Drosophila melanogaster: one gene and its partners. The protein of the gene in region 1 purifies or fractionates together with the protein of each later gene. This does not show direct contact. Each region holds a gene or a part of one and is shown in the gene's direction. Other genes may lie near its edges. The genes, in order: Ald1, Bacc, Chd64 and Yp2.

What was found.
Region 2: the proteins of Ald1 (region 1) and Bacc purify together in Drosophila melanogaster (affinity purification with mass spectrometry, with the first as the bait; one large-scale study listed by BioGRID). This does not show direct contact.
Region 3: the proteins of Ald1 (region 1) and Chd64 purify together in Drosophila melanogaster (affinity purification with mass spectrometry, with the first as the bait; one large-scale study listed by BioGRID). This does not show direct contact.
Region 4: the proteins of Ald1 (region 1) and Yp2 purify together in Drosophila melanogaster (affinity purification with mass spectrometry, with the first as the bait; one large-scale study listed by BioGRID). This does not show direct contact.

The regions. Positions count from the first base shown.
Region 1 is NT_033777.3:26,255,583-26,263,311, reverse strand, and holds Ald1 (aldolase 1), read left to right. Parts: upstream 1-1,720; 5' UTR 1,721-1,976; exon of another isoform or gene 1,977-2,158; intron 2,159-2,198; exon of another isoform or gene 2,199-2,410; intron 2,411-3,476; exon of another isoform or gene 3,477-3,510; intron 3,511-4,098; exon of another isoform or gene 4,099-4,325; intron 4,326-5,032; exon of another isoform or gene 5,033-5,270; 5' UTR 5,271-5,291; coding exon 5,292-6,087; intron 6,088-6,179; coding exon 6,180-6,379; intron 6,380-6,688; coding exon of another isoform or gene 6,689-6,784; exon of another isoform or gene 6,785-6,838; intron 6,839-7,004; coding exon 7,005-7,100; 3' UTR 7,101-7,346; downstream 7,347-7,729. UniProt on the Drosophila melanogaster protein: Enzyme of the glycolytic pathway. Glycolysis is essential in glial cells but not in neurons; neurons rely on the citric acid cycle for their energy needs, and on lactate and alanine secreted into the hemolymph by glial cells to fuel it.
Region 2 is NT_033779.5:2,750,465-2,758,445, forward strand, and holds Bacc (bacchus), read left to right. Parts: upstream 1-1,980; 5' UTR 1,981-2,376; intron 2,377-2,530; exon of another isoform or gene 2,531-2,604; intron 2,605-2,768; exon of another isoform or gene 2,769-2,907; 5' UTR 2,908-2,950; coding exon 2,951-3,196; intron 3,197-5,543; coding exon 5,544-5,706; intron 5,707-5,780; coding exon 5,781-5,830; 3' UTR 5,831-7,456; downstream 7,457-7,981. UniProt on the Drosophila melanogaster protein: Negatively regulates tyramine beta-hydroxylase tbh and thus the conversion of tyramine (TA) to octopamine (OA).
Region 3 is NT_037436.4:4,119,357-4,124,158, reverse strand, and holds the start of Chd64 (Chd64), read left to right. Parts: upstream 1-1,770; 5' UTR 1,771-1,949; coding exon 1,950-2,003; intron 2,004-4,802.
Region 4 is NC_004354.4:10,050,440-10,054,506, reverse strand, and holds Yp2 (yolk protein 2), read left to right. Parts: upstream 1-1,872; 5' UTR 1,873-1,923; coding exon 1,924-2,158; intron 2,159-2,226; coding exon 2,227-3,320; 3' UTR 3,321-3,556; downstream 3,557-4,067. Other genes in the region: Yp1 (yolk protein 1), read right to left, coding at 1-293, 371-590. UniProt on the Drosophila melanogaster protein: Vitellogenin is the major yolk protein of eggs where it is used as a food source during embryogenesis. Vitellogenins and their receptor yl/yolkless are required for maintenance of microtubule plus-end orientation towards the posterior pole of oocytes.

The DNA.
Region 1 (7,729 bases):
TCTTTGTTGCACACATTCTTTTGGTTTTCGTGAACTCTTATAAGAAGAAAAATGGAATTTAAGAAAAAACTATTTCAAATGTCCTTTAACAAAAAGACTAGATAAATAGAAATATAGTATAACCTAACTATAGTTGATCAAAAACTTTTCTAGCTATTTTGCCCTAATCTTTAATCTTGCCATTTATTGTAAAGCAAAAAAAAGGGTTCCATCAATATTAGTTTTAGAAATGAACATTTTTCTGTAGTTTTTTGAAAGATACTTTATAATCTGATCTACATCAACTTTTAATGAGTATACCAAATCGAACCAAATCGTTTCTTACCAAAACTGGGAAAACAATTTATCATTCTTCTGAACCACAAATTCACTCCTCTTTTTCGTATCTCCTCTTTAATTTAATATGAGTTAAAACACAGCTGGTGCTTGAATTTCAGACTCTTATGCACTCCACTTTCGGTTCACATAACTAGAATAATCAGAAATTATTTCGCTTTGGCTGCACCACAGTACGTAGCGTATACGCCGCGGTGTACGCGGGTGTGCGAAGGAGACGCGCAGCGCAAGTGGAACGCAACACGTGTTGGGCGACAGGTGCCGAGCGTTTGGCACACAACTCGACCGACCGACGCACGAATTCGAACTGAAAACTGAACCAGAATCCCCAAACGAAAATGGGAAGCGAGTGAGGCAGGCACGAGAACCGAAACAGGACGAAGGACGAAGCCACGAGGCACAAAGAGAGCGAGGACAATGAAGAGCACTGTGGCTAAGGTTCCTTCATTAGGTAAGCATATTATTTCATATATATCTAGCAACTGTATCACTTTAACTAAAGAAACCTAAGCATAGATAGTCTATGAAATATCTAAAATCCTTTAAATGTTATAACCCGTTCCACAGTCATTCTTTTCATTCAGAAAACTGTGCCAAAGTCATATTAGGACATTTTAAAGAGCGAAACGATTTTCTCTTTCGCTCGAACAGATTGTATGGCAGAATAGGGGGATATTTTCTCAAAGTTTGCGCTCTCAATCAGCTGTTTCCAGTGCCAGGGGGTTGAGTCCTTTAACATTGCAGGAGGTCAGGCATGGCGTGAAAGTCGCTTATCCTAGCTGCTGCTTCTGGCACCCCTCGTTTTTGTTGCGCTGCCGCTGGAGCGCCTGATGCTGATGGTCACGAAAAATTCATTGACCGCCCCAAGTAAAGCAGGTCGCTCGTAATTAAGGTTAAAATACACCAAATTAATTATTCTACCCTCTTTTCAATGCATAAGTAGAATAGGAAATGTTGTTGACAGGTTAAAAGATACAAATACTTGCAAAGATAACACTTCATTTTTAATGCTTTTTTATAGTTTTGGGCAAGAAAGCTTGGCAAGACATATAGTTCACTTGATGAGGATGATTTGGGATGACTATATCCAGCAAGACGCGACATTAAGTTTGTGGCACTTTATTGTTTTTAACATTTCAATACTATTTCAATATATATCGTATAGTGTTTGAGATCTTAAGATAAATTATTTATTATGTTAATACGCTTTGAGCACATTTCATTTAAATTTTTACCGCCCAAACGAAAGCTAAAGCTTCTCAAAGCTGTCTAATAAGTTTTACAGCTTATCTGTTAGGTTCCATCCCCCACTAAAAGCTCCCAGAATGAGCTTTATTTTGGATACCTTTCGTTTGGGGATCTGGGAATTTAAAGCGCTTGGCTCAGTCGGTTGCCCAACACCGTCGGCGACGACCTCCAAACAACCTTTTGGGGTCTCGCTCGGCATGTCTCGCTTATTTCGCTTTGGAATTTCACGTTGACGCCGCAGTCAGCGGTAGCAGAGGCATCGGCAGCGGCAGTAGCAGCGACACGGGCCGAAAATAAAAGCGTTAACCGCTCTCCTCCAGTGCAGCAGCAGCAGCGGACCCAGCCAGTAGCCAGCAGCTAATCACCACATCCCAGATTCAGTTTCCAGTTCGGTGAGTGGGCGTCATACGCAGTGAACAGAACCCCTGAGCCCCTTAAAAAAAATTCAGATATTTTTCCCCCCATTGGCGGCAGTGCAGTTGAAAAGTCGCGTAATCGTTCCCATTTCTCTGGGTGTTTCGTAATCCAAATCTACAGAGCAGCAGCGAATCTGTAGGCGTGTTAGTGTTAGTGAGTGCGTATTCGAATATAGTTTAATTATTCTCTAATCTTACCATTTCCGCGTGCTCGCCACTTTTATGACAAGTTCTAGAACCTCGAGGCTCTCGAGTGTTGTTGACCTATGCACCGCGGTTGAAGGAGTGGGGGGGCTACGCGAACTGCAGGCGATAAGAAGCCTTATCGGGTGACTTTTGGCTCACTTTCGTGAGTAGTAGTTTTCTCTACCGGCTCAACCGGCTCTCTTACTTTTCATCCGCTCTTTCATTCGAGTTCATTTGCTTGTTGGCAGGCTTTCAACTGCAATTTGTAGTCGCCGCTGCGGTTTTTCTTTATAAATAGTTGGCGCAAATGTTAAATGTATGTACTATACATCGCGATATACATATGTATACTTTCCCATCGCTCTCTCGCTTAGACTTCAATTAGCCAACGTCATCGTAAATTCATCAGATTGTTGACGTCTTCTCATGATAGACGCAATATGCTTTTGTCTATTGCATTTTATACCTACCATTTAATTGAGATTTCAGTGAATGAAGGAGAGCAAACATTTTACCGATAGTTTGTAGAGAGTACATGAGAAAAGAGGGGCAGAAGTTTAAGGGTTGTTTTGAAACCTACAGAAAACAAGTTTTGGTACTCCAAAGGACTTCCTTTCAAGATCAACCTGATTAGGATTTTTAAGAAGAGTTTTGAACATTTAAAACAACCAATTTATGTTCCTTTGATCGTTTATATCAAGCTTTGGGAAATTTTATAATGAATATAATGGAATTATAGGTATACATTCTCATTGTAAAGTATAAGCTAATCGATGAAATAAGACTAGATAAGGTACATTGGCTTATCTAGTAAACAGTTACCACAACAAAGTTTTTGGGGTCACATAATAAGGGCATAGATAGAAGTATGGGAGTGCTCGAAGTTTCCTATTTTCAGACAAGTATACAATTATTACCACCCATGTTTACGGCTAATCAGTTGACGTCAGTTCGTAGTAGTAGTAGTAGTATTATCTCAACTGTTGGATGTTCTTTTGACCCACTGTCTGCGTTCAAGGAGGCCGGACCTAAAATCTCGTTATGATAATGCAAAACCTTTGGAACTAAAACGCAACTGGGGGCTCGTTTTTTCGTCGTTTTCGATTCAAAATTTTCACTGATAGCAAGCTCACGAATACATATAGACGGACATGTGGCGGTTTATTTTTATAAACGGTCTCTTGATAGGAACGTAAATTTATTTTGATTGTTTTTTGTTGTCATGCGTTGGCTGCTCTTCGTTCCTCTTTCTTTTTTGTCATCGTATATATTTCGCCTAGTTTTCGAAACATTTCAGTCTTCGATTGATTGCCGGCAAGTGTAGGTGGGTGTTGTCTGCTGAGTGAATCCGCAACATCTATAGATAATTCTATAGATAAGGGTGTACATACATATCTAGTGTCGTTCTGTGAAGTGTGTTTAGATAACTGTTTAGAAATTAATAGATGAAAAAATGATTTGTATTCTAGAGATATATTAATATATTCTTAAACTGTGCAGTATTTTTAATATATGCATATATCAAGCTTTTATAATATCTATCTGTTCTTAGGAACCACAAGCTATTCACGCGTGTACAAAGTGTTAAATATATGGCGTGGGAAATGTGGGGTCGATGTGGTAAACAATATTTCGCGATAAGTTGCGGAGGTCTAATCTCTTAACCTGACATTTATGCCATTCCCAGTCCTTGGCTCACTGTCAATGTCAAACAAGTATAAAATGGGTTTTTAGTCATCGCAGATGACTTCGTATCTGTATCTACATATTGCTGGACACTAGCTATCTCTATCGCACTTCACACGCGCCACACGACTTTCGGTTTTCAACAATTTCTATTCGCATTTCGTAAGCAACAAATTTCGCTGGCAACATTTGTTGCTAAGGCTTGTTGCTTGACCTTGTTCAATGTCAAGCGAAAATTCATGCGCCCTGCGTTGGCGTCGCTGCCTGCAGGAACAGCGCAGCAGCAGCGGCAATAAAAGTGAAAGTTACCACGTCACGCATTATGCGGGTGTGAAGAAGACAGCTGCATTCGGTTAGAGTGAGACACAAGATTCCATGACTTTGATTACATCAGAGGGAATTATTGCCGAGGTTTCCGTGACTTTGCTCAGTTACAAAAACATCATCGTCGAGGTTGGTTCGGATTTTTCTTTGTGATCTAAGCTTAAAACAATTGTTCGGTTTTTGCAAATAGTTTTTAGCAAATTACAGACACTATAAAATAAGACACTATATAATATTTCATTCCAAAAAGTGCAGTGATACTTTTCCAACTTTGTATAGTACAATCCAAGAGGATTTTTCTAAAATGTGAATTTTCATTGATGTTTGTGAGAACCTCTAAAAAAGCTCTATTAAAAGGCAACATTTTATATGTGAATGTTGAGAGTGTAGGACAAACCTAGAAAAAAAAAAATGTGAGAGAGAGAGAGCGAAGAGCTGCAGATATAGAGAAAAGCACGTTTTCCGTGCATGCGCCTTTAATCTCATTCAATCACCCGCTCTTTGCCATCGAATCAGCTGTGAAATACACTACCATGCAAAGCATTTATTATCTTCAATGGAAAAATATTTTTAAATTGGAAAAAACACCAGTGACATTGACCTGACACTGAAAACAAAATTATATAATACCGCATCATTAAACAACAGCATATGACTCAATGGCTCTAATCGGTTAACTCAGAGTTCCACTTTAAATAACTTGACCTTTACAAATATTCTTTTTATTTTATGGAAATAATAATTAGGTCAGTTCAGTAAAATAATCCAACACTTGATTGATAGCTATCTCTGTAGCCGTTGTTATCTTTTTCAGTAGGAACATATGTAACTTTGAGTTACTTGATTTTGGTTGTCAGACTGTGCGGATCGTATACGAAATTTTAGTCCAAATTTTTAGTTTTATTTTTTACCTCGAAATATTTCAAAATTCTGTGCTTACGCAATGGTTTCCAATCATCCGCGCCGCTGCGGAATTCGATAGCTAGCTTATTAAAACACAATGTCCGCTACTCTTTTTCATCCAACAAAATAACACCACACCAAATCAAACGTAAATGGATCTTCGTGCTGCAGAACTACACTCGAATCTCAAAAATGACGACCTACTTCAACTACCCCAGCAAGGAGCTGCAGGATGAGCTGCGCGAAATCGCCCAGAAAATCGTTGCCCCCGGCAAGGGAATCCTCGCCGCCGATGAGTCCGGCCCAACCATGGGCAAGCGTCTGCAGGACATCGGCGTGGAGAACACCGAGGACAACCGCCGTGCCTACCGTCAGCTGTTGTTCAGCACTGACCCCAAGCTGGCCGAGAACATCTCTGGAGTGATCCTGTTCCACGAGACCCTCTACCAGAAGGCCGATGATGGCACCCCCTTCGCCGAGATCCTGAAGAAGAAGGGAATCATTCTGGGCATCAAGGTCGACAAGGGTGTTGTCCCACTGTTCGGCTCTGAGGATGAGGTCACCACCCAGGGTCTGGATGACCTGGCCGCCCGTTGCGCCCAGTACAAGAAGGACGGTTGCGACTTCGCCAAGTGGCGTTGCGTCCTGAAGATCGGCAAGAACACCCCATCCTACCAGTCGATCCTGGAGAACGCCAATGTCCTGGCCCGCTACGCCTCCATCTGCCAGTCGCAGCGCATCGTCCCAATTGTGGAGCCCGAGGTTCTGCCCGATGGCGATCACGATCTGGACCGCGCCCAGAAGGTCACCGAGACCGTCCTGGCCGCCGTCTACAAGGCCCTGAGCGACCACCACGTCTACCTGGAGGGTACTCTGCTGAAGCCCAACATGGTCACCGCCGGTCAGTCGGCCAAGAAGAACACCCCCGAGGAGATCGCCCTGGCCACCGTGCAGGCTCTGCGCCGCACCGTTCCCGCCGCCGTTACTGGTGAGTCATCAAATCCAACTGTAATCTCTGGATTGGAATGCATTCACCTTGTTTTTGCAATGAATCCTATCTAATCGATTGTTTGTCTACAGGCGTGACCTTCCTGTCTGGAGGTCAGTCCGAGGAGGAGGCCACCGTCAACCTGAGTGCCATCAACAACGTTCCCTTGATCCGCCCATGGGCCCTCACCTTCTCGTACGGTCGTGCCCTGCAGGCCTCCGTCCTGCGTGCCTGGGCTGGCAAGAAGGAGAACATTGCTGCCGGCCAGAACGAGCTGCTTAAGCGCGCCAAGGTGAGTCCTTGGATAGTTGTATCTATGCACGATTGATTGCAGTTAGCAATTTAAGTGGTGAATGTATTAAGAGTGTCAGGTATATGCTTCGGAAGTATTCCTTGGGCTAAGAAATATTATACATGTATAATATAACATACAGCATATTCCCAGCCATTGATTCCATTTCCAATCCCAAATGACCACAATGTTCTTCTAATCCTCTAATCTTATCCCTTTCATTTCCCTACCATTATTTGTAACCTTTTTTTGCTTTTGTACGTGAGACATTAATTTCATCATCAATAACCACACATTAATCATGCCTAGGCTAACGGAGAGGCGGCTTGTGGTAACTATACAGCTGGATCGGTTAAGGGGTTCGCTGGAAAAGATACTTTGCATGTGGATGACCACAGGTATTGATCAAAGGATTGAAGAATTGCTGCCTTAAGATGGCGATGAACAAGCTTTCATGGGGTAACTTAAGAATCATAGCCGCCTTTCACCAAATCCGACTTATCGCAAACGCCTTTAACATACTGTCCTCGTGCCACTCATGCTTCGCTTGCTCTAAACCTAATCCACAAAAGCCCAAAATCTGATTAATCCCAACCAAAATCCCGCTCTCCTCCCGCTTCCACAGGCCAATTCCCAGGCCTGTCAGGGTATTTACGTGCCCGGCTCAATTCCGTCGTTTGCCGGCAATGCCAACCTCTTTGTCGCCCAGCACAAATACTAAGTCCTAAATGCCACGCACTAATCCCGAGTCACAATCGAGCGAAGCTATATCCCAAGCCGAATCCAGATAATCCGCAAGAGTTACTGATCGAGGCCCAGCTGGAGTGAGACGGGCAACATTTATATTCCTCCAACAATGGAACTGCAAATATATTCCTTTTATACATTTTTACATTTTACCGAATAAACTGACTAGACCTTAAAGAAAATATTTTTGGCGAACAGAAATAAATTATATATTTCTAATAATACCTTGCTTATGATTTTGTTTACTTTAGTTAGCTTTAAACAAAAATTCGATTTTATTTTACCTTTTAATTTAATTTAAATACATTTTAATTAAAAATGTCTTGTCTAACTTTATTCATGAAAGCCCTTTGCAAACTTCCTACTGTTAATTAGAATAATAATTCGGAATATCTGTACCTGACAGTTAAGTTGAAAACAACGTAAAATTCGTTCGGAGAGCTGTTACATATATTTAATCGAATCATAATTTTCCTCCAAAGAACTTGCAAGATTAAATTTTCCAAAACTTTCCGCAGTACGCAGCATGTATTCGTGCGCTTGGATGCGTGGAAAGTTTTTAGAAAATTGCCGCAGGTGGAAAAAGTGGCGGAAGTTCTTCGA
Region 2 (7,981 bases), on another chromosome or scaffold:
CGAAATAAAGCTGTCAAAAGAACTGAAACTTCCGTTTTTGAAAAGCCTAACAACCCGATTAGAAGAAATCTATTAAGCACCGCATTAAGCTGAAAGAGCGAAAAACTTAATCGCCGTGAATACAAGCTGATGTGTGTGTTTTAGATACACATGCTAGCTGAAGCGTCTGGCTATCGATTGTGTTTGCATTGAGATTTGTTCGCACCTTTATGCTACAGCAAATTAATGACGCAACAACGTGTAAGTGCACTGGGAGAAATTCCTGAGGCAGGTCAGTAACGACAACGGTCGGGGAAAAATCCCTTGCGTTAGTTTCGTGTTCGAAAGGGCCATAAAATTTCCGAATCGACAGATGTTTGGGTTCCGGGAAGCAGGACCATCCATCCATTTCTGCCTGCTTGAGATCCTACCTACCCGGTGGTTGCCTGCATTTGAAACCGTTGTCTAACCTTGAAGTAACTACGGTCGTACCAACCAAGCCGATAACTCGAGAAATTGGCACAGGTTGTCCTCAGGAATCTAGATACCATTGTTCAACACCGAGAGGTGGTCTCACAAGCCCGATGAGCACGACTATTCGTATCGCGAGAGACCCACCAATCTTGGGCCGACGAGCGTCAAGCCACTCGAACGGATACTGAGAGTTCGGCGGACGGAAAGTGAGACAGTGACAGCCAGAGAAGAACGGTAGGCGGCCCATGGAAGCACAGCGAAATGGAGACGCAAATCGGCTTATCAGGCAGCGATGTTCAGGCAAAAAGTCATCGCTGCTCCTCAAATATGTGATAACTGAGTGGACGACGGGCCACGATTACAGGTGTTTACGTTCACCATGCCGCCTCGGTTGGGATGCCGCGGAACATGTTCGCCGGTTTTAATTAGCGATCCGCCTGTCGACAGTCGTCCGCTCGCTCTGTCGTCGACCGTATTATTCAGATTACCAGATATATAGCCTAGGTATTCGTATTTGCCATTGCTTTCGCACGAAAATAGCTGAAAGCGTGAGAGGCTGTCCAATCGAAACTCGACTGTTGGATACCCGGCAAACGATAGTTATTACCCTTTCGTCGATAGGCTACTGGAAATAGCACCAAGAACCTTATGTCTTCCGGTCGAATTCCTCTAGTATTACTTTATGGGTTGTTATTCCGCTCGTTAATGTGCACATTTTGAATGAACTTGAAGATCAACCTCGCAGTGATTGTCCCACTGATAACACAGATTTATAGAGAAGAGCCAGTACAACTCGAGCACGTTGACTACCAGGTGATATGGGCGATATGTTATAGCCTACTCGGCAGTTCCAGTTTCCCATATATTGGGCGATTCCTGAACCCACTGGGTTCGTGCGGCGAACGAAGCCATCACCATCAAATGGTCGAACCACAAGTGCGGGATCAACAGAAAGATTGGCACATGAAAAAAGAGTCAAGGGTGGACCCAATTCGACGAGTGATAGGCATTGGCATTTAAGTCGAAGTCTTTGGTGGGGCCATTAGGACTTAAGGATGTTTAATATTTCTGGAAATTGCCGATTTCGAAAACTAACCCTTAAATGTTTTCGAATCTTATGGGGTTGCAAATTGCTGTTTTCTTGCTATTTCTCCAGTTCTCTAATTCTAGTTTTAAGACGCATAATCCCGGAATAGAGCATTTCCCCGATTGCGTGCATCTAAATAGTTAGAATCTCAAAAATAGCTGCCCGCTTTCCTGGTCCGCGAAAATCACCTGCTTCCCCACACGTTACCAATCAATTGACCCCAATCCGCGACGACATTGCGTCCCACGCTGGTCCACTCTATAAATACGAATACCGTGCTGAATACAACACACAGCACACACATCTGCATCTGCGGCAACAATGCTGCAACACTTCTTCCCATCGGCAACATCCACATCCACTGTTCTGCTCTGTTCTGTTCTGTTCCACCGACGAACGGTCAGAACGCCACAGAGTGACTGCACCACACACACCACACACCACCATCGCCGCTACCAACCCCCAGACCCCGCCCCCAGGCCCACAAGCGCACCACTGGCGCGCGCAATTTTCAAATTTACCGCCAAACGCGCCCACAACCGTACTCACGGAACCCAAGCAGATTTTGTATGGAATTAATCAGGAAACCCACTCAACTTGTCATTTGCGGATCTAGTTTTGATCGCAGCGCCTCGGGAAAAAGCCCAAAATTAAGCGGATACTACCAGCTATAGCCTCGATCAGTCTCTGAACCGATCCGAACAAAGGTATTCAAGTTATAGGCAAAAATGTCTGCAACCGATTTGGCGCAAGAAGAAGCAAGCGGCAATTTCTAGCCATCGAACGGACGGCAAGCTCAGTCTTGTACGAACCGTCGACGGGAGCACATATCGGTGGTTAGCAAACCAAAGGAAAACGGATATTCCATACATCAGTGGGGCCTACGAGTAAATCCTTTTGCCTGCCGTAGCGCCGCCTGATATATGGCACCTCCTAAAGCCTTACTATATAGATACTATATTATCAGAAAATCACCGCAAAATAATATACCAAAAATCCAACGATCGCTCTGCTCTGGGCTGTTGTTGTTGTCTTATCGACTGCGGCTGTACAAATGCCGCGGCGATTTTTTGAGTGTATTGTATGGGCCAATGGCGTGGGAGAGAGAGAGCGAGTGAGCGTCGTAACGATTTCGGGGAGAGCGAAAAAGAGAGCAGCGAGAGCGTTTAAAGAAAGTTACTCTCTCCTCGAGAGGCAGTGCTTAAATAGACGGCCCGCAGCTGAATCGCATTCAGTGTGTTTGTGTGCTTCGTTCGGTGCGGTTCTCTCTGTCTCTCTCTCGCCTTCCCCGAGTATTTTGCGCTGGTTTTTTGTCAACAACAAGACAATCCACAAAACCAACCCGAATTGTTCTCTATATAACGCAGAAACTAAATAGTTCCGGAAAACCTCAAAGAAACCAATTCAAATATGTCGGCTGCTACGGAACAACAGAACAACGGCGATGTGGCCGTGGAGAAGGTGGCGGCAGATGATGTGTCTGCTGTCAAGGACGATCTCAAGGCGAAGGCGGCCGCCGAGGATAAGGCCGCTGCTGCCGATGCCGCCGGCGACGCGGCCGACAACGGTACGTCAAAGGACGGCGAGGATGCCGCCGATGCCGCCGCCGCTGCCCCCGCAAAGGAATCCGTGAAAGGCACCAAGAGGCCAGCAGAAGTGAGTACTGATCTATGTGACTAGGTAGTTGTTTACGCGGTAAAACCAAAAGGAGGCCCCTCTAATGATTCACTCCAAGCCAATATGCCAGTAGCATAGCATTGTTCGAGGAAAAATTCTAGAAATAGATATACACACGTTTTTCGGAACAGCGCACTCTCCCAATGGCTTACATATGCCCCCAAAAGAGAGAGCGTATAGCTGGCTCGGTTGTGCGTTTGTGTTGTTTACGATTAACCAAGATGATTGCGGGTCCGGCAATCAAAGATTATTGTTGTTAGGTTCAAATCGAGGTTAGGAGGGCCGCCGTGCTTATATAGGCGGGGAGTACAGTTAGCCAGGGCCTTTTCTTTGGTGGGGTGGGTAATGTGTTTTTAATAAACCCATAGGTCATTAGCATTGACGTGTCCGCTGAACAGCGTTACCCAGCAATAGATACATTGTGGCATTACGTCTATAACTCATACGCTTGGCCTTATTTATCAGTCGCTGTGGCTACGGGAATTGCAAATGCAAACGCAAACGCAATTCAGCGCGATGCCAATGCACTCTCTCAATGAAAACACACATTGCCGGCCGGTAAATTACTCATGTCATGTTTGGCCACTTTATTTTTGGTTAGTATCGCCAAGAGCACGCGGTATTCGAACAAGTTTTGGGGGCCTGAAGCAGTCGCATTCCATAATCGAGTAGCACATTTCTTGATAAAAATAAAATAGTTCGGCCAGTAAGGCAGATAAATTGGCAAATCAAGCGCTTTTCTCAGACTCAAACTCGAAATAAAAATGTACAGTTTAACGGGAGCGTTCTCTCGCTCTCTCTCTCTCTCCCCGGAGAAAGATAGATACAAATAGAGAGCGCTGCTAACTCTCTCCCTCGTAATTTGTATACACACCGTTTTGTCTGTTTGCGTATGTGCTTACATTTATCTTTCACTTTTTTTTCTGCTCTGCCTTATGCGTATTTATTTTAGTACATAAAACAAGACGGCTAAACAGGGTGTCGCAAAAGTTAGTTGGGTTTCTTCGGGATTCAATTGAATAATGATCATTATCCCATGATCATGAATTAGTTGAGATACGTTTGGCACGGATAATTCTTAGTGGTACAGTAACGAATTGTATAGATTTCAAGAATAGTTTTGAAAATTATTCGTTGGTTTCCATATCTTTCGATTCCAAACAACAGATTAGCTTTTGTCCCTATAAATGTATCTTCACGCTTAGAAAACACAAACTAAAACCTCTAACTAAATCAAGATACATTGATTACCCAGTTATAACACCAGTAATAGTAGGCTTAGTTCTTGCCAATACAGATACACCCTGTTCGTCTTAATCCTCTATTGGCCTTTTCTCGAGTTCTGGGTCTCGTGACTTATGCTGTAAGCGAAGTGAAAAAGGGGGGCGATGGGTGGCCATTAATTTTGCACATTTTTCCACAGTCCGATTGTTTTTCGCTTCTTCCGCTTTGTAACAGTCTGGTAAATAGGGCCCTTGTGTTGCGGCTTCTCTTCGACTTGGGAACGTGACCGCCTATATACTGCCATAAACCATATACCATTATGTGTATCTTGTTGTTGGTTGGTCAGCGGCAAAAGTTAAACCCACGCATGTTGTTGTTTTGCGCCTTTTTCGCTGCCGACGTCGCTGCAGCAGCTGTCGTTCGGATGGCTGTGAGTGAGAGCGAGAGATTCATTCATGCAGTTCAGGTACAGTTTACAGTGCTGCGGATTCAGATGCTCTCTCTCTGGCGCTCTCGCCCGCTCTCTATCTTACAGGGCACGCTTCGTTTCGTATCTCACGGATGCGGATACATATGTCGCTGCCGGCGTCGCTGCTTATTGTTTTTTTTTCCTTCCCCCTTATGTAGTAAATATGTCGCCTTGTACATACGGAGCACAGATGTAATGTAGCGCGGTTGCACTTGTAATCCACTCTCTCACGTACTCTCTCTCCCGCTGTCTCTTTTTGCCGCAGCGAATTACATTGGCGCGCGCATTTTTCAAATGTTTTTTTACGGCGAAAATAACGATTTTCGTCGCTGCTTGTTTTGTGTGCTGAAAATATACATTTTATGACTATGTACACACGCACAGGAAGTTGAGAGGGGTATTGGATGCCCTTGATCAAGGAGATGTGTGGGTTTGAGTTGGGCGCGTAGGACCATTTCGCTCCGTAATTCTCCCTAATATCCTTTAGTTTGTTTCTCAGATTAATATCAAAAATGCATAATTAATAGTGACGGGCCCCTTATTTCTGTTCAATAAACTTGCTTGTAATACAGTAAATCATCAGCGGAACAAAAACCAAAGGAACTCTACTAACTTCTCTTTTTTCGCTTCCAGGCCAAATCCGCAGAATCAAAGAAGGCCAAGAAGGCCGCGGCCGCCGATGGAGATTCCGATGAGGAAGAGGCTCTGGAGGAAATCATCGAGGGCGACAGTGAAATCGAGAGCGACGAGTACGACATCCCCTACGATGGTGAGGAGGATGACATTGAATGTGATGGTGAGTTCACGGAAGCACTTCCCTTTTCCACATCAATCTAATCCCCGGATTTTCCCTTTCCCTTACCCGCGCAGATGATGATGATGATAATGATGACGGTTCCGGCTCGGACGATCAGGCGTAATAATAATGTAGTCAAAAATACAAACAAAAACAAACAAAAATTTAAATTAATAATAAATAAAAGTTACAAGCAAAAACAAAACAAAAAAAATATAATAATAAACCAACAAGCAGAAAATAAACCACAACAAGGAGAAAATGAGGAGGAGGAGGAGAAAAAAACCACAAAAAAATCGCAAAAGTATATAATTTTTATGTTTAAGAAATAATTTTTTATTTCTTACCTTATTTTAATTGTATTTTATGTGTACTTTTTTTATAAAAAACTACAAAACAAACAAAAATTGTAATTGAAGGCATTTTCGTATAAACGCAACCTATACGGAATCCAACAAAAAGTAAACATCCCCACTATATACAAGAACAAAACAAAACCAAAATCTTTCTTTCCTTTATCTCATAAGTCCTAATTTAAACGCCCAGTTGATGCGTAAACCAAGATATACAAAGATTTCAAATGTAGCGTAAACGAAGCCCGCGAATTAAACACAGATACACTACACTCACACACACACACGATATTCAAATTCATTATTAAATTAGACGTTACATTTGTGAATGAATGATCGATCGAAAGAAGCAAAAATACAAAAGTGAACATTTGAAAATGAACATGATTATGAACATGAAAAAGAAACAGCAAATGCAATTAAATACAAAACAAATAAAACATAAAAATTGTATTTAAATAAATCGCAAAAATCATTGAAACCCCATACTCGACAAGCATTCAATGACACTCAAGTTTTAGCTATGGTTTCAAAAATTTCGCGCCCATTGTGGCCACAGTCACCCGAATTTCCCAAACCCAAGGCACTGGGACTTAGTTGGTCTTCGCTTTTGGGGCAAATACAAAAAAAAAAAACAAAAAAAAATGAAAGGAAAACATCGGGAAGTTTGAGTTCTAACCTTCTGTTTCGTTTCAGCATTTAACTATAAACTATGACTAATCTTAAGTACTTATGTCAGTATTAAAGCGAGGGCTTTATTATTCTGTTGATAAGTTGTGCGAGCGAGTCGTTGATAAGCCTAATTCATTTGTAAATTGTAAAAACCAACTCGAGAATCGAAAAACGAGCAAGAAAATAAACTTTTAATGTTACATGTATCTAATTAGTAAGGGCATCCAAACTATTTATACACACACCCCGTACGACGAGTTCTCAATATAAACATATAACGACTGATATTTCAAAACGAATCGTGCCCAGCTGGTCAATCACGGCACTCGACACCGAAACCACCCAACCACCACCATCCTCGAATCTAAACGATTTGTCCCGGAAAGACAGACCAGCCCAACATACACACACAATCCACCCACTGACCCAGATCCAAACTCCAAGAGGCTTAAAGCTGGTAATGCCAACCAGCAACTGAATAATTGAGTGCAATTAAACCAATATGCCCAAGATAAATCATCCGATTTGATAACTGATAAACAATAGCGATATCACAGACAATGTTAAAGAACTATGCATTTTTGTAAATACCAATTACTCATGTATCTGCTCCGTGCGAGAATAACATCTAGTAGCGCGAAAGGGCAAAAAGAGAAAAGAACCACGAATCGAAAACGAGAATAAGAAACAATTTTGAACGATGAAATAAATTATTGTAATTACGTAAAAGCGAAAACCGTACGTACATACCACCCATTTGGCATCTGTTCCGATGCCAATAAAAGTTTGTTTCAATTGCAGTTGGCCATTTTGGGTGGGGCAATCACCTCGCTTCGGTGTTCCCAGGGGTAGTAGTTCTTAGCCAGGAGCATGTACGTATGTAGGTACATAATTCATAGATTGGCCGCCCCTACATTACTCCGATCCATCCCTTCCATATCCCAGTTTTCGTTCGGGGGTTGACGAGCTGGTTCCCACAATCCTCCCTATGAAAGAAATCATATACTAAGGGATGATGGAAAAATTCAATCGGAAATTTCCTTTGATTAAGTACCTTTTTCGGATTGAAAATCGATTAGCCTTAGCAGATGCCTATTAAAAAAACGAATGATGAAATTCCGGGCTCTTCGTTGGGCAAATGAAGTTGAGCTACTTTTATATTCAAATTCAAATATAAGCGCAAAAATTTCTAAAAGTTTAAGAGCTTTTAAGTTTCATAAGCCATTTCTTTCATTTATTTCAACTTTTAT
Region 3 (4,802 bases), on another chromosome or scaffold:
AAAAGAATACGAAGACGCGGTATCCACATACCATTAACCCATCCACATTTACAGCGCCTCACTGCTAGGAGGGCATATTCGAACCCCCTCTTTATTTTTTGCCCAACTTTGCACAGTTGTTCTGTAAGTTAAGTTTAATACGTTGAGCCAACGAATCGTGAGGTATTATTTATTTAAACAAAACGAAACAAACGAAAAAAAAAAAACATAGGAAAGAGGAGGAAATAAGGAAATTCAATTGAAATTATTTGCTGATACTGTTCGCAGCTAGTCGAGCAGATACATAGGTAGCCTGTAAACAATAAAACAATTACACGCGGATATATACACCCACTGTAATCACAGATGTCAGTGCTTGATATACACATGCCTAGGTCTAGTGGAACTGGTAGTTCTACCATGTTGTACTATTTGTAGTAGGAGTCCCAAATCTGATTATGCTTATGTCACCCTTTATTATAGGAATGTTCTCTGTATATTATTGCGTCTCTTTTGCGTCTACGTATATATTTTTTGGTAAATGATTTTTTATATATACATATACACATTTATATTTGTAATTTGTATTTATCCATGTGCAAAAATAAATTATGATGATTATTTTTTAAAGAGTCGTCCCCCTCGAAGCATGCATAACAGATTGTAAAAAATGAATCGATTTATATATAATACGAAAATCACACACTACCCACTTGTATCTGAGCGAAAGGGCCTTAACAATTAGTAGGATGCATGATCGATGTATGCAGATCGGTTATAAAAACAGATATAGCAGGCATATTATTCGCATGCGAAAACCGTTAATAGAATAATATATTATAATGGCAATATGTGTATGCAACTAATAAGCCCTAACTTCTAGTTAATTACTGCTTTCCTATGTTATAAACCAAATGGCGATATAATCAAAACAAAAGACAAGCCCACATAAGTTAAATGTGTATGCTACCAACATAACAAACCTTTGAAGATCAAGCTGAATTATGTATTTCTAATATTAAATATATCACAACCCACACATAAAAAAAAAAAAACAAACACGACAAATAGAACAACAAATTATACAAGCAATTCCCCTATTTATTTAGAACCACACTGAAACACTAAAGAAATTCGCTTCTTATCGTAAATCCACAATTGCATAATTTATACGATTAAACAAAATATATATTTATGTGAATAAACTGTAACTAATTCTCAAGGCAATCATCCAAATGCGATTCGCTACTTCTTGGTTTCCAGAAAGTCCCCCAAAAATGTCATGGTCATCTGAATGGAATGCTGCTGCAAGAACCTCTCGATAAGGGGGAACATAGGAAGTTTTCAATGGAACTTTACTCTGGCGAATCTTATCGGATAGTTTGTACACAACCGCAAAAAGTAGCACTAATAGTGGTTGACTTCTATTAAAAGTAAAGCAACAGGTGGATCATGGAAATCATACTGATTCAGATTCATTATCTTTTCAAAACCTATTGAAAACAAAAGTTACTGGTTTAGAAGGCAAATGAACCAGAAATTTTAAATTTATACTTATATAGTGTAAAATTGTTTCCAGTGCTCGATAGTTCCATGTTTTATTATTTGAAAAACAACTGCCGTTAACAAAGCGGTATGACATCATCAATGCCATCATAACAAATCAGCTGCCGCTGATAAGCGCAGCTTGGAGCTTTTATGTTGTACCCAACCTACTAGGTACAAGACTGAGTGTGCTTTACAACACTAAACTGTTGGCGAGCTTTCCTCTGTTTCGCAGCTCGGACCGCCTTTCATAACGTAGTAAGTTTTCGTTGCGAACGGACGTAGCCCAACCAACTTGGCCTTAACCCTTGCGCTCCCTCCGATTTATTCCGCGGCAAACACATTCCAGTGGACAGTGGTGCAGTTCAGCCCAAGACCAACCTACATTTTAGCTCCCTGCAAACCCGTTTCTTCATCAAATAACTATGGCGTCCAACCGTGCAGCGAAGTCTGGTTTTGCCGCCGAGGCCCAGCGCAAAGTAAGTACCAAATAGCAACAACAACCGCACCCCCCACCCAAAAACCGAAGAGCGCCAAACAAAACAACACAATAAACAAATTGCCCAAAAAAAAATCAACTTTTGCACGGGTGTGTGCGTGAGTTTAGAGCTGCATTGACTTTATTTGGCGCTGCGTTGTCAAGATTTTATCTTCGCGCGCCAAATGCCAAAAATTAGCCAAAAATGGTCTTGAAATTGCCAGCGTCTAACAAGGAATGACCTCATTTCGCTGATAAGTCGAACAAGTATTTATGTACATACATATGTATATAGGAATATATACATGCATGTACACACATGTGTAATGCATGCGTAATTCGAAAGCTTGAAGATGATTTAGGTGATTTTGAGGCATTGTCAGTGCGGGTGATTCAAATCGAAGATCGAGAAAACAGTTGGTTATCCATAAATCAAACAATTAGTAGTAGTTAGTAAAGCTCTGGAAATTTCGATATGAATAATATCCCAAGTTCGAACAGTATACATTATAAAGATGAGCTAATATAATCCTAATTAATTGTGCTGCAATAAAAGCAAGTCTGAATACATAGGTGCTACTTGTGGAGTATCCACTGTAGAAGGAAGACCCTTTGGATGATCTCAACCCAACTATTGCAGCATGGTAGCTTCCGCAATGTAAATTGACATTAGTTCCGTCCATTAGCAGCACTTTGCCTCAAATGCACTCATACAAATGCATCGGGCTTTTGTGGGTGGGATGGGGTTGGGGATGGGTTACCCGTACCCTTCGGCCATTTGGCCCTCGTCAAGTCGGGGTTACGCAATTCCAACCGCCCCTGGGCAGCCCCAAGTGAAATTGTATATGTCGCCGGCACAGGGGATTAAGTGCAGTCCGACGAAATCCACAACAAGACAACTACAGTTACAGCATTGCCCAAACAAAAAACGAAACAAATAATCGAGATTTTTCATATCCGAAGTTTTGTATACCCTTGAGGAGCACTTTACCAAGTTGTTGACAAACTGAAATATTTTGTTTTGCTTTAGCTTTGCTTATCTAAAAGTATTTCCACCCGGATTTCATTCTCTTGAGTCAGCCATTTGGCAAAAGGCCTTGTTTATCGGTATTATCTGTACTAGCGCATTTTTAAAACACAGTATGTTTTAAAACACAGTATGAAGTATGTTTTAACGTGGTTTATGGTGATATATCAGGCACTATGGTTATGAAAAATATTATGAGAACTCTGTAGTGTTTATTTATGCCATATCATGTTAAGCTAAAACATTTTGGTACTTGGAATAGGAAGAACCTTGGCATAGGGTATAGAAAAATAAGAGAAATAGAGGCGAGTGCCTGGAGGCGCAGCTGCTGGCGCGACTCCAAGCCGCGATCGAATGGCTCCCCAGGAGCCGAAGGCGATGATGTCATTCCTTCAGCTGTCCCTCCACTGGTGCTCCTCGATCCCTTCGCGATCCATTCAACTCGAAGGCGTTGTTAGTTTGAGCACTTTTGCCGCTCGCTGGGAGTCACTCATATCTTCTGAGGGGGATTCGGGTTCGGGTTTTGAGTTTTTGGGGGTGACAGGAGGTAGAGGCGATAGCAGCACCTTTTCCACCACATGAGCACTTAAAACTGAGTATGTGGCGTAAGCAAACAGCAAAACAAAAGTGAGGCAAAAAGGTATGAAAGCAATATTTTTGTTTGTCTCATGGGTTCTCTACACTCCGTGCTTGCGTGTGTGCTTTTTCCGACTTTTACGACCAGTCACCGACAAATTGGCATGGATCTCAAGTTTCGGCCAGGGAATTCGTAGCCCCTTTATTTTCAACCCTTTCCTGGGATCGTAGCACCAGCTGTCGGGAAAGTTCTAGGAATGAGGCAGAAAGGTCTCAAGTTACTCAAAGTATGTTTACTAATTTGTAACTACATAAACGATTGAATATATTAGTTTAGCAATCTTAGATTCAGCATGATACTATTTCCTTTCTGGAAATTCACCCCTAAGAAGCCGCACTGTAGTTGTTTTCTTTTCCAACTCCCTCCACGCTCGCAGCTGTATCTCACCGCATTGGCGGCACATGGGCCACGTACTAATCACTTGGCCTTTTTCGGAGTCAAGAATCCACACTCAATTAGCAGTGCATATGTGAAAGACACTGTGTACACACTTGTACATCCGCAGCACGCACCTCCCTGTATCTGTATCTATATATCAGTATAGGTACGGGTATCTCTATCAGTGCGGGCGACACGTAAGTGGAACACTTGGCCCACATGAACTCCGTGCTCCTAGATGGGTATAGCTAGGTATTCATTCCCGAACCTCTCCCCCAAAAATTTAACACTTGTTGGCCGCTAGTTTTAGATAAGCCATAAACAGTCGCGGGAGGTGGTCGACAGCGGCTTTATCGTAAATCAAATGCTGTTTTGGATTTCCGGTGAAACTACTGCCAGTGCCGAAAACACCTCGACAAATGAAAATGGAATGAAATTCTGCCCCCTGTCCAAATCCCTCCGAAAAAGGCACTCGATGGGGGCCCATACAACAACTCAGTCAACTGAAGTCGAAGTTGGTCGCTCGTAAACCAGACTCAAAAATCATATATGTATGTACGCAATTGACCTCGTTACATTTTTGCGGATTTTGTTTATGTTATCGTTGTGGAATTTTTGTCATTTTCCCATTTATTTATCCACCCAAAAGATATCGGTCAGCAATTGTCATGGATCATGACGCATTCGAATCGCAAAAGAAAGCGAAATCGGCGGTGGCATAGTGAATAATCACCAGATCTGGCCATTTCGTGGATTGA
Region 4 (4,067 bases), on another chromosome or scaffold:
GTAGTCCTGGTTGCCGTTCTTGCCGTGCTGGCGCTGCTGCTGCAGATTGTAGCGCTGCATGTAAGCCTGAACCAGCTTCCTGGTCGCCTTCTTCACGGTCTCGCTGGTCTGGGGCAGTCCGGTCACAATGATGGTCACCTCATCCTCACCAAAGTTCTGCTTCTGCTTCAGGCGCTGGATCATCTCGTTCAGGGGAGCAACGGTCTTGTCACCATTGGGCTTGGGCACATAGACCTGGATGCCGCTGGGCACATAGTTGGGCTCAACGTTGTGGTGGATCTGCGACAGGTGGTCTACAAAGGATATATATATTCCATAGAATATTCGATGTTTTTTTTTTTTTTTTTTATCTGCATCTAGGATTACTCACAGACTTGCTGCAGCAGCTCGGCGCCACGCTCCAGGTTCATGTTCTCCAGACGCTCAATGGTGAAATCGTCGAGGGCGGGAATGGCCTCCAGCTGGGATCCGGAGAGCCACTGCGACGGCTTCAATGCCTGGTTGACGGAGTTGTCCATACGGCCATTGGGCTTGGCCAAGGCGGCGACCGCCAAGCAAGCCAGAAGGCTCAGCACTCTCATGGGGTTCATGGTTCGGATTTGGGATTTGGTCCTGCGGATGCGACTTCAACACTGAGTGAGTTGAACTGGCCTTCCAAATCCAACGATGGTGGTTTATATACCACAATTTGCGCTGAGCGATTTCCCATTTTCTGACTCGCTTTTCGCTGGCTCAGGCCTTAATCGGTCACTTGTGCTGAGTAAGGGTTTTCGGGTGCCTGGGAATCGGATGAGTGTATATGCTATCGATAGCGGAATAAATTGTATACATACAAAATAGACACGGGGCCTACCTATAGCTGACCCCACTGATGACTTAGCAGCACCTGCTGCCGCCTGATTATTTTAATTTGTAATCACTTTGTAGGCTCCGCTGATTGCAACATTGTAGTTGTGCACCGGATTTGATCAAATAAATGCATAAAATATAGATCTAACATGGGCATTAGTTGGTTATTATATACAACATTTTATTGATTTTTTTTGTTTATAAGTAGATTTATATTTGGCACTTTTCTTCTGCTTAATTAAAAGTCCATAATTTTGCATTTTCAATTCAAGGCCGATACAGTTCATTGATTCCTAGATGTTTGCCATTGATACGAAAAGTATGGAATGTTTGTAGTTTCCAAGGCAAGATAGTAAGATTATATTTGTTTTTGGACTTTAGAAATGAATTGATTCAGGGGAACGTTTTTCAAGGAGATTCTATTTTAATATCCGGGATTCGTTTTATAATATATGATCTTATCGATGCTATTTCATGTAACTCATTCTACTTATTAAAAATATATGTATATTTCGATAGATGTAAATATTTATATTTATAATATTATAATTTATAATATATTTATTTTGCATTTCCCTGAAAGTGCTATCTGCTTATAGAACAATTTAGACAATTCTTTTGGCAAACACTTAAATAGTTGCATAAATTTCACAAAATTGCCAAATATTTTTTTCAAACAAAAGCTTTATCTTGACCTGTGCATGAGTTCAAGTCGTGCCCCCACTGTCAAGCCCCTTAATGGCCAGACCACCTTTTGTTTATGTTATGAAAGTGCTGGTTAAAGAAGTTTCCCATTACCTGTTACCCGATGGATACTTAATAACCAAAAAAAAAAAAAAAAAAGGGGAACGAAATTTTAGAGCTCATCAGAAGTGTTGCAAAATCACTGACGCTGCGAATCAATGCATTTGTGCTGATCCAGAAATCGGTTGCTGAAATCAATTGCTTCCGGCGCGTGCATTATAGTGTGTATAGACTACCGATTCCAAGGGGTATAAAATGCATTGAGTCGCAGCAGTGGGTATGCAGTACAATTTGGTACGGTGTCTGAAAAAGTCGAACTTGGAAGCCACAATGAATCCTCTGCGCACCCTTTGCGTTATGGCCTGCCTTCTGGCGGTCGCCATGGGTAATCCCCAATCTGGTAACCGTTCCGGTCGCCGATCCAACTCCCTGGACAATGTGGAGCAGCCCAGCAACTGGGTCAATCCACGTGAAGTCGAGGAGCTGCCCAACCTGAAGGAGGTTACCCTTAAGAAGCTGCAGGAGATGAGCCTGGAGGAGGGCGCTACGCTGTTGGACAAGCTCTGTAAGTTCAAGGATCTCTAAAAGTTCTACCAATCATGTTATATTTACACGCACTATCCTATCCCGCAGACCATCTGTCCCAGTTCAACCATGTCTTCAAGCCCGATTACACCCCGGAACCCAGCCAGATCAGGGGCTACATTGTCGGCGAGCGCGGCCAGAAGATCGAGTTCAACCTGAACACTTTGGTGGAGAAGGTTAAGCGCCAGCAGAAGTTCGGCGACGATGAGGTCACCATCTTCATCCAGGGCCTGCCCGAGACCAACACCCAAGTGCAGAAGGCTACCAGGAAGCTGGTGCAGGCCTACCAGCAGCGTTACAACCTCCAGCCCTATGAGACCACCGACTACTCCAACGAGGAGCAGAGCCAGAGGAGTTCCAGCGAGGAGCAGCAAACGCAGCGCAGGAAGCAGAACGGTGAACAGGATGATACCAAGACCGGAGACCTGATTGTGATTCAGCTGGGCAATGCCATCGAGGACTTTGAGCAGTACGCCACCCTGAACATTGAGCGTCTGGGCGAGATCATTGGCAACCGTCTGGTTGAGCTGACCAACACCGTGAACGTGCCCCAAGAGATTATCCATCTGATTGGCTCTGGACCCGCTGCCCACGTTGCCGGAGTGGCTGGACGCCAGTTCACCCGTCAGACCGGACACAAGTTGCGCCGCATCACCGCCCTGGACCCCACTAAGATCTACGGCAAGCCCGAGGAGAGGCTGACCGGACTGGCCCGTGGTGATGCTGACTTCGTTGATGCCATCCACACCTCCGCCTACGGCATGGGTACCAGCCAGCGATTGGCCAACGTGGACTTCTTCCCCAACGGACCCTCGACCGGAGTGCCCGGAGCCGATAATGTCGTTGAGGCCACCATGCGTGCCACCCGCTACTTCGCCGAGTCCGTGCGTCCTGGAAACGAGAGGAACTTCCCCTCCGTGGCCGCCAGCTCGTACCAGGAGTACAAGCAGAACAAGGGCTATGGCAAGCGCGGCTACATGGGCATCGCTACCGATTTCGATCTGCAGGGCGATTACATTCTGCAGGTGAACTCGAAGAGCCCCTTCGGCAGGAGCACTCCCGCCCAGAAACAGACCGGCTACCACCAGGTCCACCAGCCCTGGCGCCAGTCCTCCTCCAACCAGGGTTCCCGCCGTCAGTAGATCATCGCACAGTGATCCATCGATGACAACCAGATCGCACACCCCTCATGCGAGCGAACCACTCCAGCCCATCCTCATCCAGCAGAACCCTCTGCCAGTTGCATCCACTACGATTAGTTAGCTTTGTTTTTTTAACTCACAATAAAAAACGTTTGCATTTTTAAACATTCTAAAGAGTTCAGTTCAATATCAGAAAAAAACCCCAGTTCAATTTACAATAAAAACAATTGCTTATGTCGAAATATTTGAGAGTTCTAAATGCTCATTATATAAAAATATCCAAAACCAAATTATGCAATGCCACTGAGGTCATAAAAGAAGCACACAACAAACATTTGGATTACATGATATGTTTATTTGATAAAGAAAGCATATTATCCATTATGATATATAGCGTACACACACGCACAACCACATATATAGATATGGCGCTATATATATGGGACGATGAACTACGGACAATATTTCTTGCTTACTACTGTATTGGCAGGCGCAAAAAAATTGGGTTGAGATATCACTAAGCTTAAATAAGAATAATTAACGTAGAATTTCAACTTGCTTCACTCATATTCATCGTCTCGATTTCAACAACCTCATCAGAACTAATCACAAATTGGAAAAATCATATACAACACGGGGTGCAATGGGAATGGATGGTCTTTTTATCGATGCGAATGGGTCTCCAGATGAGATGGGTTAATGGATTTAGAGGCTTATTTAGAGCTGTGTTTTTGTTTTTGTTTTTTT